Linked DNA regions of Arabidopsis thaliana. The protein of the gene in region 1 interacts with the protein of each later gene in a biochemical or structural test. Each region holds a gene or a part of one and is shown in the gene's direction. Other genes may lie near its edges.

Region 1 (4,520 bases):
GTATATATCAATATGAAGGTCTTGATTTTCAAATAAGGTTTGGTTGTTGTTTCTCTCTTTTCAGTTAGAAATCGCAAAGAGAAAAGAAGCGTCATGCATTGTACAATATGCGAAACGGGAACAAGAAATGGCAGAATTGAAGGTAATTCTCGAGAAACTCATTGCCTACCACTTTGATTCCTGACTGATGCTATCACATGTTTTCTTGACCATTACATAGAATAGATGTCGCTAAACACAGTCTTGTATTTTGTATTTCTAGTCAGCTGTTCGCGATTTGAAATCTCAACTCAAGCCAGCGTCAATGCAGGTATATAGTTCTCCCAATGTTTTGATTCTGGAATAATTTATACAATTGTGCCAACAATACAAATCGTGAAAAAAGTTAGCTGTTGAAGTAACTTGGACTTTTCTAGGCATAGTCCGCTTTTTATGCCGTAGTGTACCTTTTATGACGGTCATCCTCGACCTTGATGCATGTAGAGGGAAACCTTTTCCTTGCCTTTTAGATTTCAGTCTGAATACGATGATAAGCGCATGTTTCTTGTAAACCTTTACCTGGCATCTGAATTATTAACAAGTCTGAATAGAAGAAATGGCTATAAATTTTGAATTGCAATGGTCATTTAGCAGCTTGTCATGATCAGATAGCAGTGTAGATTATTTATTCTTTGTTTACCTTTGTAGGCGAGGAGGTTGTTACTGGATCCAGCAATTCATGAAGAATTTTCACGTCTGAAGGTCTGCACCTACTCGTTTCTATTTACCCTTAGACTACTTTTTCATAAGGATGTATTTGTCGTAATATATCCTTAGATAATCCAAACTGTATCTACGGAACAAAATTCCGCTTTCGTTATGAATGGCCTGAAAGAATAATTCCTTAATAACTGATAGCTGACACTGTCGTAGTAGATACAGTTGAGGACGAACATTCCCAACTTTTTGTTAATGTACATTTGTTGCAGTTAAGTAAAGAGTAGATGAAGTTTGATTCCATGTTTCTATTATGCAGAATCTAGTAGAGGAAAAAGACAAGAAGATCAAGGAACTCCAGGACAACATTGCAGCAGTTACTTTTACTCCTCAAAGCAAGAATGGAAAGATGCTTATGGCAAAGTGCAGAACCCTGCAAGAGGAAAATGAGGAGATTGGGCACCAAGCTGCCGAAGGAAAGGTATAGTTTGTTCTACTCTCAGTCTTCAATCTGGAATTATATGAATTATATAGTAAAGCAGTAGTCTTCTTCAACCTTTGTAAAACATGATTCCCTGAAAAGGGTAAAGAAATTGATGCTTGCCTATGTTCATGTGGAATGGCAGATTCATGAACTAGCAATAAAGCTTGCAATGCAGAAGTCTCAAAACGCGGAACTTAGAAGTCAATTTGAAGGTAAGTCATATGTTGATATTAAGTTATAGCAAAGATTTTTGTAGAGTTTGCAATTTGGATTTGAGGATTTTTGTGGAATGCAGGACTGTACAAACACATGGAGGAATTAACTAATGATGTTGAGAGATCAAATGAAACGGTGTTGATCCTTTTCTCTTATCTCTTAATTCCTCAAGATTTTTCTTAAAACGGAAGAATGATTATGGTTTTGTTGGAAATATGTGACTTTGATAAATCTCAGGTGATAATATTGCAAGAGAAACTGGAAGAGAAAGAGAAGGAGATAGAGAGAGTAAAGAAAGGACTGGAAATTGTGTCTGAGCTAGTAGGTGACAAGAAAGATGAAGTTGATGAAATTGATGAAGATGCAAAAGAAGAAATTGCTGGTGGAGAATAGGAATTTGTAGCTTTCAAAAAATGTTTTGTACATTTTGAAGTTCAAAATCACATTTCTTCATTCGTTATCTGTTTCATGAAACAGAAAGTTCTAATCTTCATCTTCTATTAATATGTTTTAATTCGCACCATTGGTGTTTCGATATCGATATGTGGCTTCCCGATATAACTCGTGAAGAATTTGAACTCGTCAACTCACGCAAATCATCTGAGTAGATATCAGATTAGACCAAAATAAGTGAGTCCAATTAGTTTTCCCCAAAAACATTCACAGAGGTCACGACTTTAGGTTAATCTGTTGCAGTTGTCACGAACGAATTCAAAATCCAAAGGAGCGGGAAAAACGAAGTGACGTGGAAGTATCTTAGCGAAAGCATCTCTCTCTCTCTCTCTCACAATCCATCATCTTCATTAATCTGATCAAATAATAGGGTTAATCAAAAGTCCAGAAACCAACACAGTTCAATTTTACGAAACCTCTCAGAAATGGAGAAGTACGAGAAGCTAGAGAAGGTCGGAGAAGGAACATACGGGAAAGTCTACAAAGCGATGGAGAAAGGAACTGGTAAGCTTGTTGCTCTGAAGAAAACTCGTCTCGAGATGGACGAAGAAGGTATTCCACCAACTGCTCTTCGTGAGATCTCGCTTCTCCAGATGTTATCAACATCGATCTATGTTGTTCGATTACTCTGCGTCGAACATGTTCATCAACCATCAACCAAATCTCAATCTACCAAATCCAATCTCTATCTCGTTTTCGAGTATCTCGATACTGATCTTAAGAAATTCATCGATTCGTATAGGAAAGGACCTAATCCTAAGCCTCTTGAGCCTTTTTTGATTCAGAAGTTGATGTTTCAGCTTTGTAAAGGTGTTGCGCATTGTCATAGTCATGGTGTGCTTCACCGTGATCTTAAACCGCAGAATCTTCTTCTGGTGAAAGATAAAGAGCTTCTTAAGATTGCTGATTTGGGTCTTGGTCGTGCTTTTACTGTTCCTCTTAAGTCTTATACGCATGAGATTGTTACTCTTTGGTATAGAGCTCCTGAAGTTCTTCTTGGATCTACTCATTATTCAACTGGTGTTGACATGTGGTCTGTTGGTTGTATCTTTGGTTAGTAGTCTCAATTATGCTTTTATGTTTTTGAATTCGTCTCTCTGCGATGTGATTTTGTATTTATGCTGTTTCAATCTTTGAATTTGTATAGCTGAGATGGTTCGGAGGCAAGCTCTTTTCCCTGGTGATTCTGAGTTTCAGCAATTGCTTCATATCTTCAGGTATTTTGAATTTACCTTCCATTACTTCTTCTGGTTTTGTCCTGTTTCAGTGTGAATTGCATCACTGAATGATATGCTAGCTTACCAATTGAGAACAACTGATTCTATATAGTCCAGGTTTCTTTGACCAATTATTCAATGGATTTAGCATTCTTGAATAGAGACTATGATCTTTACTAATGGTTCCTATTTGGTTCATGGAGGTTGCTAGGAACACCAACTGAGCAGCAATGGCCGGGTGTTTCCACACTGCGTGACTGGCATGTTTACCCTAAGTGGGAGCCGCAAGACTTAACTCTTGCTGTTCCTTCTCTTTCACCTCAAGGAGTTGATCTTCTCACGGTAAATAACTCCCTGATGACCATAGCTTTGTTGCAAAGTTGCTCTAATATTGTTACCTCTTGCTTCTGCTTCCCTCTTTTTTTCCTAAGCTGAATTGCTTGGTTAAATCTTTCTGATTGAGCTTATGTTTGTACAATTGCAGAAAATGCTCAAGTACAATCCAGCCGAAAGAATTTCAGCAAAAACAGCACTTGATCACCCATATTTTGACAGCCTTGACAAGTCTCAGTTCTGAAGTTCATTGCTGTATCTGTTGTCATCGTCTTGGTGAATTTAAACATTTGATCTATCTTTGTTTCCGACACATTAGTGTCTTATGTTTGGTTTAGAGATTTGTAGTCTTTCAGAAGAAACTGGTAAAGCTTGTATTCTCAAGTGAATGTAAAACACAATGGTGTGGTAGCAATGAGATGATTTTCTATCAATCGCTTGTTTTTGTGTAATCATACAAAGTTGATGCTCAACTATCTGAATCAAGTCAATTTTGAAAATTAAAGTGAGACCTTACAGGTGGAATAAAGGGTCTTTCATAGAATTGTCAAAACCCAAATGTTACGTACAATGGTATTAGTGTACACAACTGGCATTCTGACGCGCACACTTGCCCACAAATGGTTTACAACACAGATGGCTGCTCAAAGACACTAAGTTAAAAAGATTTATCGCTACACACAATTGAAGGAAACCAAATGATACATTCGTAGTAGTAGTAGTAGCAGCTAACGATGACGATGTATGTGAAATCAATTGGACCACACATGAACAAGGCCGTGTCTGTTTCCTGTGTATATCTCATTGCGTTCTTCGTCGTAGAAAAGAGCGGTTATGTCTTCCAAAGCTTCAGCTACAGCGTTTCTTCTTTGCTTTGAGTTCTTTCCCATACAATTACTGCTGCTGCTCTCATCATCTTTTGGAGGCCCACTGCTTGGTGTTATTTTAGCTAAGCATTTCCCAGTCAATATATTGCTGATATTGATTGATCCCGCTGGATCATCCCACAAAACACCAATAATCAATATCCATCAATGAGATTTGTTAGGTTATAATATCTGGTTAATATTATCTTGAGGGGTTATTTTTCTTACCATTTCCTTCTATCCACTGATCTTCGG
Region 2 (3,642 bases), on another chromosome or scaffold:
TTCTTTTGGGGGTTTAGTCATGATTATCCGAAGCTAATTTTTTTTTGTATATTAGTGCCCAAAAATGAAATTCAATTTTCTGAAATCTTTTTCTTTTTGTCACTGATGTTTATATATCGAACAAAGGAGGTATACAAAGCCGGCGAGTATACGGACACCTGAACTCTGACTATAAGAGGAAGATACTGATGCCTTTAGAAATGAATCTCTGAACCGGGAATTATACCGGTTTGATTAACGTCGAACCGTAATCAAAATTTTAGGGCTCCACTAAGCGGGAAGGAGCGCCTCTAAGAAATTTGAAACTCAAAAAAATCAAAACACCCGTTGAGAAAATGCCCCTATAAATCCCCATAATTACTTCCTTACCACAATGCCTTTTTAATTCCCTTTCGCTTTCCCTCTTCTCCCCTAAAATTCATTTCGTTTCCGATCGCACTTCTTCTCAAGGTCTGCTTTACTTCCCGATTCTTAGATTAGGGTTCGATTTCTGATTTGTTTAGGTTCTCGTCGTTGTTTAGGGTTTAGATTACTGACAGATTGCTCCATTTCTTTTGTTTAGTAAATTTAATAGACGTTTGTTGGGTGATTTAAGAAGATGGGTCAGATCCAGTACTCCGACAAATATTTCGATGATACTTTCGAATACAGGTGATTCTCAGTTTGATTCTCCTCCCATTTTAATGGAGTTCTCTCTCACGTTTTAGTTTCAGTCTAATCGCGTGGTCTTTTATTTTTCTCTCAGGCACGTTGTACTTCCTCCGGAAGTTGCTAAGCTTTTACCTAAGAATCGTATTCTTTCGGAAGTAAGTTAAAAATTAGGGCTTTCCTCTATTCGCTGTATAACCCTTGAATCATCGTAGGCTAAGAGATTTACATGTTTAAGAAATTAAGTTAGGAAATTGAAGTTTGGACTTTTGAGAGTCGAAGAAATTGAAGTTTCTGCTTAGGAATTTGAAGTTTTGCTTCTCATTAACTTGTTTATTAACTTTAGGTTGTGTAATTGTCAGCAGTGACGAAGATAGTTTAGATATTTTTTTGTGTTATCAGTCAATTCTCAGTTTTCTGATTTTGAAGTTAACAGTTTTCTTGTTTTACAATCTGGTTTTGTAGAGTGAATGGAGAGCCATCGGAGTGCAGCAAAGTCGTGGATGGGTTCATTACGCGATTCATCGTCCTGAGCCACATATCATGCTCTTTAGGAGGCCTCTTAACTACCAGCAGGAGCACCAAGCTCAGATTGCTAAGTAGAAGAATTATGCAAAATTCTCCCTAATCTCTGTTTATGTCTCTCGTAAACGAGGTTTTAAAATACTACTCTGATGTTTTGTTCCTGTAGTTTTTTTTATTGTGTTCATGAATTCTCTTCAGTGGAGAATCATGTGAGTTTGGTAGAACAACTTTTAATGTTATGTTAAGTCTGGTCCTTTGCTAGACTTTGGTTGGATCCACGTTTGAACTTCTTCATGGTTAAGAATGAAGACGTTATTTCTCATGCTTATGTGCTTGTTTCATCATTTCAACCTCTTTTTATTGCTCCTCTTAGAGTCTTAAGTCCATAACTATGAACAACAAACAAGGTATCATTACAATGCCAATCTGAAGGTCTAATCACGATTCTCATGGCGATACTGATTCAAAGAAACTCATATTGTGTCTCAATCACCACATTCACCAAACACCATATATTCCTTACTGTACTACTATTAGTGTATTGAAACCAGGAGATTCAGAGCCATTTTTATAAATTAACTAGATATGTATCTTATACCTAGTGTGAAGCACTGATTGTTGGAATTAAATGAAATTTCGAGAAAATGAACGAGTTCGTAGTTTGATGGTAAATAACAAGGTCTTTGGTCAAAGCAACCAAACAAGTTGTTGAATTTAATTAGAACCAAACCAATCCACCCAATTTCAATTCATTTTGGTAACTAACCGGTTTATAATCATTCATACCCAATCGGCGTCTTCTAAAGAATTTCAAAACTCTAAAAAGTTAATCAAACACCCCTCTATTTCCTCATAATTACATATCTACCCCAAACCACTTTATTCTCCTTTCACTATCTTCCCCAAATTTCAAACGATCAGATTACAGATTCTTCAATTCCTCTTTCCCTTCTCCTCCATTTCCTGATTAAGGCTTCACATCTCTGAGAGAGAAATGGGTCAGATCCAATACTCCGAGAAATACTTCGATGACACTTTCGAATACAGGTAAAGCTCTTCAATCTCGCTTCTTCTTCCTCCAATTTTCACTCTCACTTCTCTAATCGTAATCGATCGATACAGGCACGTCGTTCTTCCTCCTGAAGTCGCTAAACTTCTTCCAAAGAATCGTCTTCTCTCCGAAGTAAGTTTTTTTCCGCATTGTTCTCTGATTTCTGATTCTAAATCCTTCGATTAGATCATCGAAGACTATGAAAATTTGTTGCTCTTAAGAAATTAAGTTTGGGAAAAATCGAAAAAGAGATCGTTTAGGTTTAGGATTTGAATCTTTGCTCTGAATCCAAATTGCAACTGTTACGATTTTGAATCTTTGCTTTGGGATTTTGTAAGGTTTAGTGATAAAGAGATTTTAGACATTTGTGTTGTGCAATCTCTTCAATGTTGTATTGATTGGTGGTGATGGTAAAAATGTTTGGAATTTCGAAGAACGAATGGCGAGCGATAGGAGTGCAGCAAAGCCGCGGATGGGTACATTACGCGGTTCATCGACCTGAGCCGCACATAATGCTATTCAGGAGGCCTCTTAACTATCAGCAGCAGCAGGAGAATCAAGCTCAGAACATGCTTGTTAAGTGAATCATTATCATCACCTGAGTAAGAATGTTATATGCAACAATTCTATGAGTATTGGTTTATGTTTCTTGTAAACATGGTTTGAATCTTTGTGGTTATGGATGAATATGTGAGAGTTGGTTTGTTGAACAACTTCTATGTAATGTTAGTCTTGGTTCTAATGTCATCTTCTGCTTCTTAATTACTTATTTCTCAAGACATTTGGTGGTAGTTTAGTGTCATCCAACTATGTGTTTGATTTTTAGATATATTGGTAAAATGGTCACTGGATAGGCATGAGTAGTTGAGAACAATGTGTCCCATGTTTCCACTCAACCATGAACACAAATGAAAGAGAAAAAGAAAGTTTTTGTTGATAACTTTTACGCTCTAGTTTTGTAGAATAACCATTGTTTTTGTTGATAACGAAAGTATGAAACTTACATTTCAATGAAGAACACAAACGTAGTTGCTATCGAATCAAATCCTCAAACTATAATGGTGTTGAATCTGGATGGAGGTTTGAGTAAAAAGATACATGACTCGAAAATCAAATTAGATGTTATTGTGGTTATCATGGTTTTCCTTTTTGTGTGGCTAAAACTTTACATTGGTAACTTTCTTTTCTATAATTAGGGGTTAGTTTGCTAGATAGCCAAAATCTGGAACATATTTTGGAAAATAGTTTCAATGACAAAATTGTAAACAGTAATTACTGGGGTGTCGTTTTGTTTTAAGATGTATTAAGTGTGTAAAATGTGTGTCATAGTGTTAAATAGCACTCGTCCATAATAAATATTTTTTTTATATACTGTATAAACTATAAAGCAACATTTACTTTGTAAAAATAAAGTGTCA
Region 3 (5,933 bases), on another chromosome or scaffold:
GTTCTCCTTTAAAAAGAGGATTCTAGAAATGTTTCCTAAAACTAACTCAATGTAGAGAAAAAAAACATATATTGCTGAAAATGACTCGACCCACTTGTTAACTATTCATTATATTTCTAGTAACTCAACATGGACTCATGATCATCATTGTATATAACAAAAAAAAATGCATTATTATGATTACATATGCAAGAGTATATCAATAGGGTCCGAGTTGACTATGCTACAGGAGAACGAAAAAAAACATTTCTTAACGAGTAGTATCAATTAATGTGACGATGATAGTATAAGATCATGTCTAGTGATATCATACGTACCATATAATTAGATCTGAAATAACCATTCAACAACGATCATTGACTATAAGGCAATAGCTCCCATGAATCGTCTTGATTTTCTTTAAGAAAATAAGACATTAACAAAAATGACGAACCCTACCACGAGAATGTAGTCAGTCTGATAAATTGTTGTAGGTTGGGAGGTGCATATTTTCCCTCCTTTCAAATTTCAGTTTCTTGACTTCATTAATGTTAATATAAATAAACATATACTGCATGATAAAAATGTTAATTTAACTGTAAATGTGAATGCAAATCTGAATGTAAGCCATATGTTTTAAATATTGTCTACCTAAACAGAGAAATGAATTAGTAGCCCAACCTAGCCATAACAAATAAATAATGAAGAAGGTCTTCTTCCGCCGAAGATACCAAAAATATATTATCTTCTATTTCAAAAAGTATCCCATTTGTTTCTAATTTCTATGGTACAATGTAGTTGTTGAATTGTAATTTTCTCAATGTTAATTTCGTTATCTACGTAAGCATTGTCAACTATTTACATAGTACATACAAGTGATAGTTATATATTAGCTCTTCCATAATTTTTAATTCTTATCAATATGAAAATATTGACAAATTTATACAAATCTGCATAGAAAACACATACAAAACAAATATGAAACAATGTTAAAAAAAAAAAAAAATATGAAACATTTTTTCTAATACACCTGAAAACTAAAATAAGGGGTAAATATATTAGAGGTAAGCGAAAAATCTACTACAATCTAAACCGAGATCATCCCAATGGTATAATTAAAGTCTAAAATCTAAATCGAAGGAGCAAAGTATTTTGTAAGGCACACGTGAAAGAAAGTAACTACGGGAGTGATTAATAAAAACGGGCCAATGATTTAACACTTTTATGGCATAATTAAACCAAGAAGGGACCAAATAAATATGACATATTGATACAAAAAGGAATGTGAAGAAAATCTCCGGTTCTACGAAAAGGACTTCCACTACTCTTTCCCACACGCTCCAGACCACTGTTTGCTTTCCTCTGATTAACCAATCTCAATTAAACTACTAATTTATAATTCAAGATAATTAGATAACCAATCTTAAAATTTGGAATCTTCTTCCCTCACTTGATATTACAAAAAAAAAACTGATTTATCATACGGTTAATTCAAGAAAACAGCAAAAAAATTGCACTATAATGCAAAACATCAATTAATTACATTCGATTAAAAAATCATCATTGAATCTAAAATGGCCTCAAATCTATTGAGCATTTGTCATGTGCCTAAAATGGTTCAGGAGTTTTACATCTAATCACATAAAAAGCAAACAATAACCAAAAAAATTGCATTTTAGCAAATCAAATACTTATATATATACGTATGATTAAGCGTCATGACTTTAAAACCTCTGTAAAATTTTGATTTATTTTTCGATGCTTTTATTTTTTAACCAATAGTAATAAAGTCCAAATCTTAAATACGAAAAAATGTTTCTTTCTAAGCGACCAACAAAATGGTCCAAATCACAGAAAATGTTCCATAATCCAGGCCCATTAAGCTAATCACCAAGTAATACATTACACGTCACCAATTAATACATTACACGTACGGCCTTCTCTCTTCACGAGTAATATGCAAACAAACGTACATTAGCTGTAATGTACTCACTCATGCAACGTCTTAACCTGCCACGTATTACGTAATTACACCACTCCTTGTTCCTAACCTACGCATTTCACTTTAGCGCATGTTAGTCAAAAAACACAAACATAAACTACAAATAAAAAAACTCAAAACAAAACCCAATGAACGAACGGACCAGCCCCGTCTCGATTGATGGAACAGTGACAACAGTCCCGTTTTCTCGGGCATAACGGAAACGGTAACCGTCTCTCTGTTTCATTTGCAACAACACCATTTTTATAAATAAAAACACATTTAAATAAAAAATTATTAAAACCTCAAAAAATCTCTGTTTCTTGTTTATATATCCAAACAAATGAATGTGTTAAACCTTCACTCTTCTCTCCACACAAAATTCAAAAACCTCACATTTCACTTCTCTCTTCTCGCTTCTTCTAGATCTCACCGGTTTATCTAGCTCCGGTTTGATTCATCTCCGGTTATGGGGAGAGAATGAGGAGTTACCGTTTTAGTGATTATCTACACATGTCTGTTTCATTCTCTAACGATATGGATTTGTTTTGTGGAGAAGACTCCGGTGTGTTTTCCGGTGAGTCAACGGTTGATTTCTCGTCTTCCGAGGTTGATTCATGGCCTGGTGATTCTATCGCTTGTTTTATCGAAGACGAGCGTCACTTCGTTCCTGGACATGATTATCTCTCTAGATTTCAAACTCGATCTCTCGATGCTTCCGCTAGAGAAGATTCCGTCGCATGGATTCTCAAGGCGAGCCTATTCACTTTTTTTCTCTACCTCTCATTTTTTTCAATGCTAAAATACGCCGCCGGAGAGTGTGTAGACGCTAAAATACGCTGATCGAATCGTTACATGCAGAGAATCTTTTTTTTTACAGTAGTGTGGTATTGTTTGGTTTACAGGTACAAGCGTATTATAACTTTCAGCCTTTAACGGCGTACCTCGCCGTTAACTATATGGATCGGTTTCTTTACGCTCGTCGATTACCGGTAAATGTTTTAAAAACGTCAACGTTAGTTAATTCTATTGTCTCTGTTTTTTTATTATATTGATATGACAAATAACAACCCCAAAAAGTCAGTTTTATTTCCCTTTTTTTTTTTCAATGGATCGATTTGTTTATTGACTTTTCTTCAGAAAAAAATGAAAACGACTAAAAATTTATTAGAGCAAAAAATTATAATCGGTATAGAATAATTTAGTAGAAATTAATCTTATATTGGAATGTACGTAAACGATAGAACAGGAGCGGGCTGGGGAACTTTTTTTCGTTTTTTAATTATTTTATTGAAATTTATATTTTCGATAAAAAATTACATTGACGTTTACATAATAATAGTATACTTTTGCAGTAAACTTTCCACTTCATATATCGGCTTTATTGAAAACTTTGTAATCATAGTGTTAAAACGCTCCTACTACTATATAATATTTTAAATTAATTTTGTAATTAAACTTAATAGAGTATATAGTAATCAATGATTATATTAATCAGCTTTAATTTCTGTAAAATAGGAAACGAGTGGTTGGCCAATGCAACTTTTAGCAGTGGCATGCTTGTCTTTAGCTGCAAAGATGGAGGAAATTCTCGTTCCTTCTCTTTTTGATTTTCAGGTAAACATATATTATCATTCTTTCTTTAACATTCTGAATTTACTCTGTTTTTTTAAGAAACTTTAATTTATGTATCTCTGTATAATGTAATGTAGGTTGCAGGAGTGAAGTATTTATTTGAAGCAAAAACTATAAAAAGAATGGAACTTCTTGTTCTAAGTGTGTTAGATTGGAGACTAAGATCGGTTACACCGTTTGATTTCATTAGCTTCTTTGCTTACAAGATCGATCCTTCGGGTACCTTTCTCGGGTTCTTTATCTCCCATGCTACAGAGATTATACTCTCCAACATAAAAGGTACGTAATATTTGTATGATATATGATCCATAATGTCATTTAGGTAGCACATTTTTGGGTTGGTTCTAACACATGACCAATTAGTACAGAAGCGAGCTTTCTTGAGTACTGGCCATCGAGTATAGCTGCAGCCGCGATTCTCTGTGTAGCGAACGAGTTACCTTCTCTATCCTCTGTTGTCAATCCCCACGAGAGCCCTGAGACTTGGTGTGACGGATTGAGCAAAGTAGGATTTGTTATATCACGTTTAGATGGAACAAGGGAGTAACAGATTGCTAATTAATGTCTTTTGGTTATATTTGACTTTCAGGAGAAGATAGTGAGATGCTATAGACTGATGAAAGCGATGGCCATCGAGAATAACCGGTTAAATACACCAAAAGTGATAGCAAAGCTTCGAGTGAGTGTAAGGGCATCATCGACGTTAACAAGGCCAAGTGATGAATCCTCTTTCTCATCCTCTTCTCCTTGTAAAAGGAGAAAATTAAGTGGCTATTCATGGGTAGGTGATGAAACATCTACCTCTAATTAAAATTTGGGGAGTGAAAGTAGAGGACCAAGGAAACAAAACCTAGAAGAAAAAAAACCCTCTTCTGTTTAAGTAGAGTATATTTTTTAACAAGTACATAGTAATAAGGGAGTGATGAAGAAAAGTAAAAGTGTTTATTGGCTGAGTTAAAGTAATTAAGAGTTTTCCAACCAAGGGGAAGGAATAAGAGTTTTGGTTACAATTTCTTTTATGGAAAGGGTAAAAATTGGGTTTTGGGGTTGGTTGGTTGGTTGGGAGAGACGAAGCTCATCATTAATGGCTTTGCAGATTCCCAAGAAAGCAAAATGAGTAAGTGAGTGTAACACACACGTGTTAGAGAAAAGATATGATCATGTGAGTGTGTGTGTGTGAGAGAGAGAGAGAAGAGTATTTGCATTAGAGTCCTCATCACACAGGTACTGATGGATAAGACAGGGGAGCGTTTGCAAAAGATTTGTGAGTGGAGATTTTTCTGAGCTCTTTGTCTTAATGGATCGCAGCAGTTCATGGGACCCTTCCTCAGCTTCATCATCAAACAAAAAAAAAATCAAGTTGCGAAGTATATATAATTTGTTTTTTTGTTTGGATTTTTAAGATTTTTGATTCCTTGTGTGTGACTTCACGTGACGGAGGCGTGTGTCTCACGTGTTTGTTTTCTCTTCAAATCTTTTATTTTGGCGGGAAATTTTGTGTTTTTGATTTCTACGTATTCGTGGACTCCAAATGAGTTTTGTCACGGTGCGTTTTAGTAGCGTTTGCATGCGTGTAAGGTGTCACGTATGTGTATATATATGATTTTTTTTTGGTTTCTTGAAAGGTTGAATTTTATAAATAAAACGTTTCTATTATATGAAGGAAAAAGTACATTGAACTCAATAATGGTCGTGGAGAAGGTTAATAGCTACGTGAGAGGATAATATGAGTAGTGGTGAGATTTGATTTTGGTGTGGCCTGTGGGAGCACGAAGCATGTGAACATGTGTGTTGTGGATCGAGTGTATGTTTTATTGAACGACGAACGTAAAAAGACAAAAGAAAATTGTATTTGTTTAAGACCAAAAGAAAAAAAAAAGTATTTAATGTTCAAAATGTAATAACCTTCCTCATTTTTGCCATAATTAAACACATTTCTTTGTTTTTGTTTTTTTGGGCAAAAGATTAAGGGTTTTATATACCTATTTTAACAACAGTAAATATACAAAAGAAAATCAAATTATGAAAAAAACAAATTACAAAAGAAGTAAAAAATAGTGGTTAATTTCTCTCTTGATTTTAGTAAAGAGGAACAATTAATAGGAGCAGTAGCATACATGTGATGTTGATCTGTCTCCATGTCAGAGAAAGTGGTCTCACCACGAAACCATAACGTAGCTACACCGTTCTATCTCTCTCGAACCCCTCAAACATTAGCCACACAAAAATACCATCTTTGACTATCCATTTATATATGTATGCACACGATTTTACAAGTAAAAAAGGAAATAAGAAGTGAAAGAAAAAGAAAAAAACTTACTGCAAAACAAAACATTTT

What was found. The genes of interacting proteins can lie anywhere in the genome.
Region 2: the proteins of CDKB1;1 (region 1) and CKS1 form a complex in vitro, tested with the Arabidopsis thaliana proteins (one study listed by BioGRID).
Region 3: the proteins of CDKB1;1 (region 1) and CYCD1;1 form a complex in vitro, tested with the Arabidopsis thaliana proteins (one study listed by BioGRID).

What each region holds. Positions count from the first base shown.
Region 1 is NC_003074.8:20,057,608-20,062,127, forward strand, and holds CDKB1;1 (cyclin-dependent kinase B1;1), read left to right. Parts: upstream 1-2,063; 5' UTR 2,064-2,274; coding exon 2,275-2,902; intron 2,903-2,996; coding exon 2,997-3,066; intron 3,067-3,269; coding exon 3,270-3,408; intron 3,409-3,550; coding exon 3,551-3,643; 3' UTR 3,644-3,881; downstream 3,882-4,520. Other genes in the region: FIP37 (FKBP12 interacting protein 37), read left to right, coding at 65-142, 263-310, 688-741, 1,016-1,177, 1,323-1,392, 1,476-1,531, 1,634-1,789; AT3G54190 (Transducin/WD40 repeat-like superfamily protein), read right to left, coding at 4,152-4,393, 4,494-4,520. UniProt on the Arabidopsis thaliana protein: May control G2/M (mitosis) phase progression. Plays a role in regulating seedling growth in darkness via regulation of hypocotyl cell elongation and cotyledon cell development. Plays a role in stomatal development. Required to suppress endoreduplication.
Region 2 is NC_003071.7:11,910,069-11,913,710, reverse strand, and holds CKS1 (cyclin-dependent kinase-subunit 1), read left to right. Parts: upstream 1-1,908; 5' UTR 1,909-2,167; coding exon 2,168-2,220; intron 2,221-2,295; coding exon 2,296-2,356; intron 2,357-2,658; coding exon 2,659-2,808; 3' UTR 2,809-3,142; downstream 3,143-3,642. Other genes in the region: CKS2 (CDK-subunit 2), read left to right, coding at 599-651, 746-806, 1,114-1,251. UniProt on the Arabidopsis thaliana protein: Associates with cyclin-dependent kinases (CDKs) and plays an essential role in the regulation of the cell cycle that affects plant growth rate. May inhibit both the G1/S and G2/M phases.
Region 3 is NC_003070.9:26,437,575-26,443,507, forward strand, and holds CYCD1;1 (CYCLIN D1;1), read left to right. Parts: upstream 1-1,981; 5' UTR 1,982-2,078; coding exon of another isoform or gene 2,079-2,222; 5' UTR 2,223-2,440; coding exon 2,441-2,713; intron 2,714-2,865; coding exon 2,866-2,952; intron 2,953-3,478; coding exon 3,479-3,577; intron 3,578-3,672; coding exon 3,673-3,874; intron 3,875-3,963; coding exon 3,964-4,100; intron 4,101-4,184; coding exon 4,185-4,406; 3' UTR 4,407-5,433; downstream 5,434-5,933. Other genes in the region: AT1G70209 (uncharacterized protein), read right to left, coding at 2,079-2,222. UniProt on the Arabidopsis thaliana protein: May activate cell cycle in the root apical meristem (RAM) and promote embryonic root (radicle) protrusion.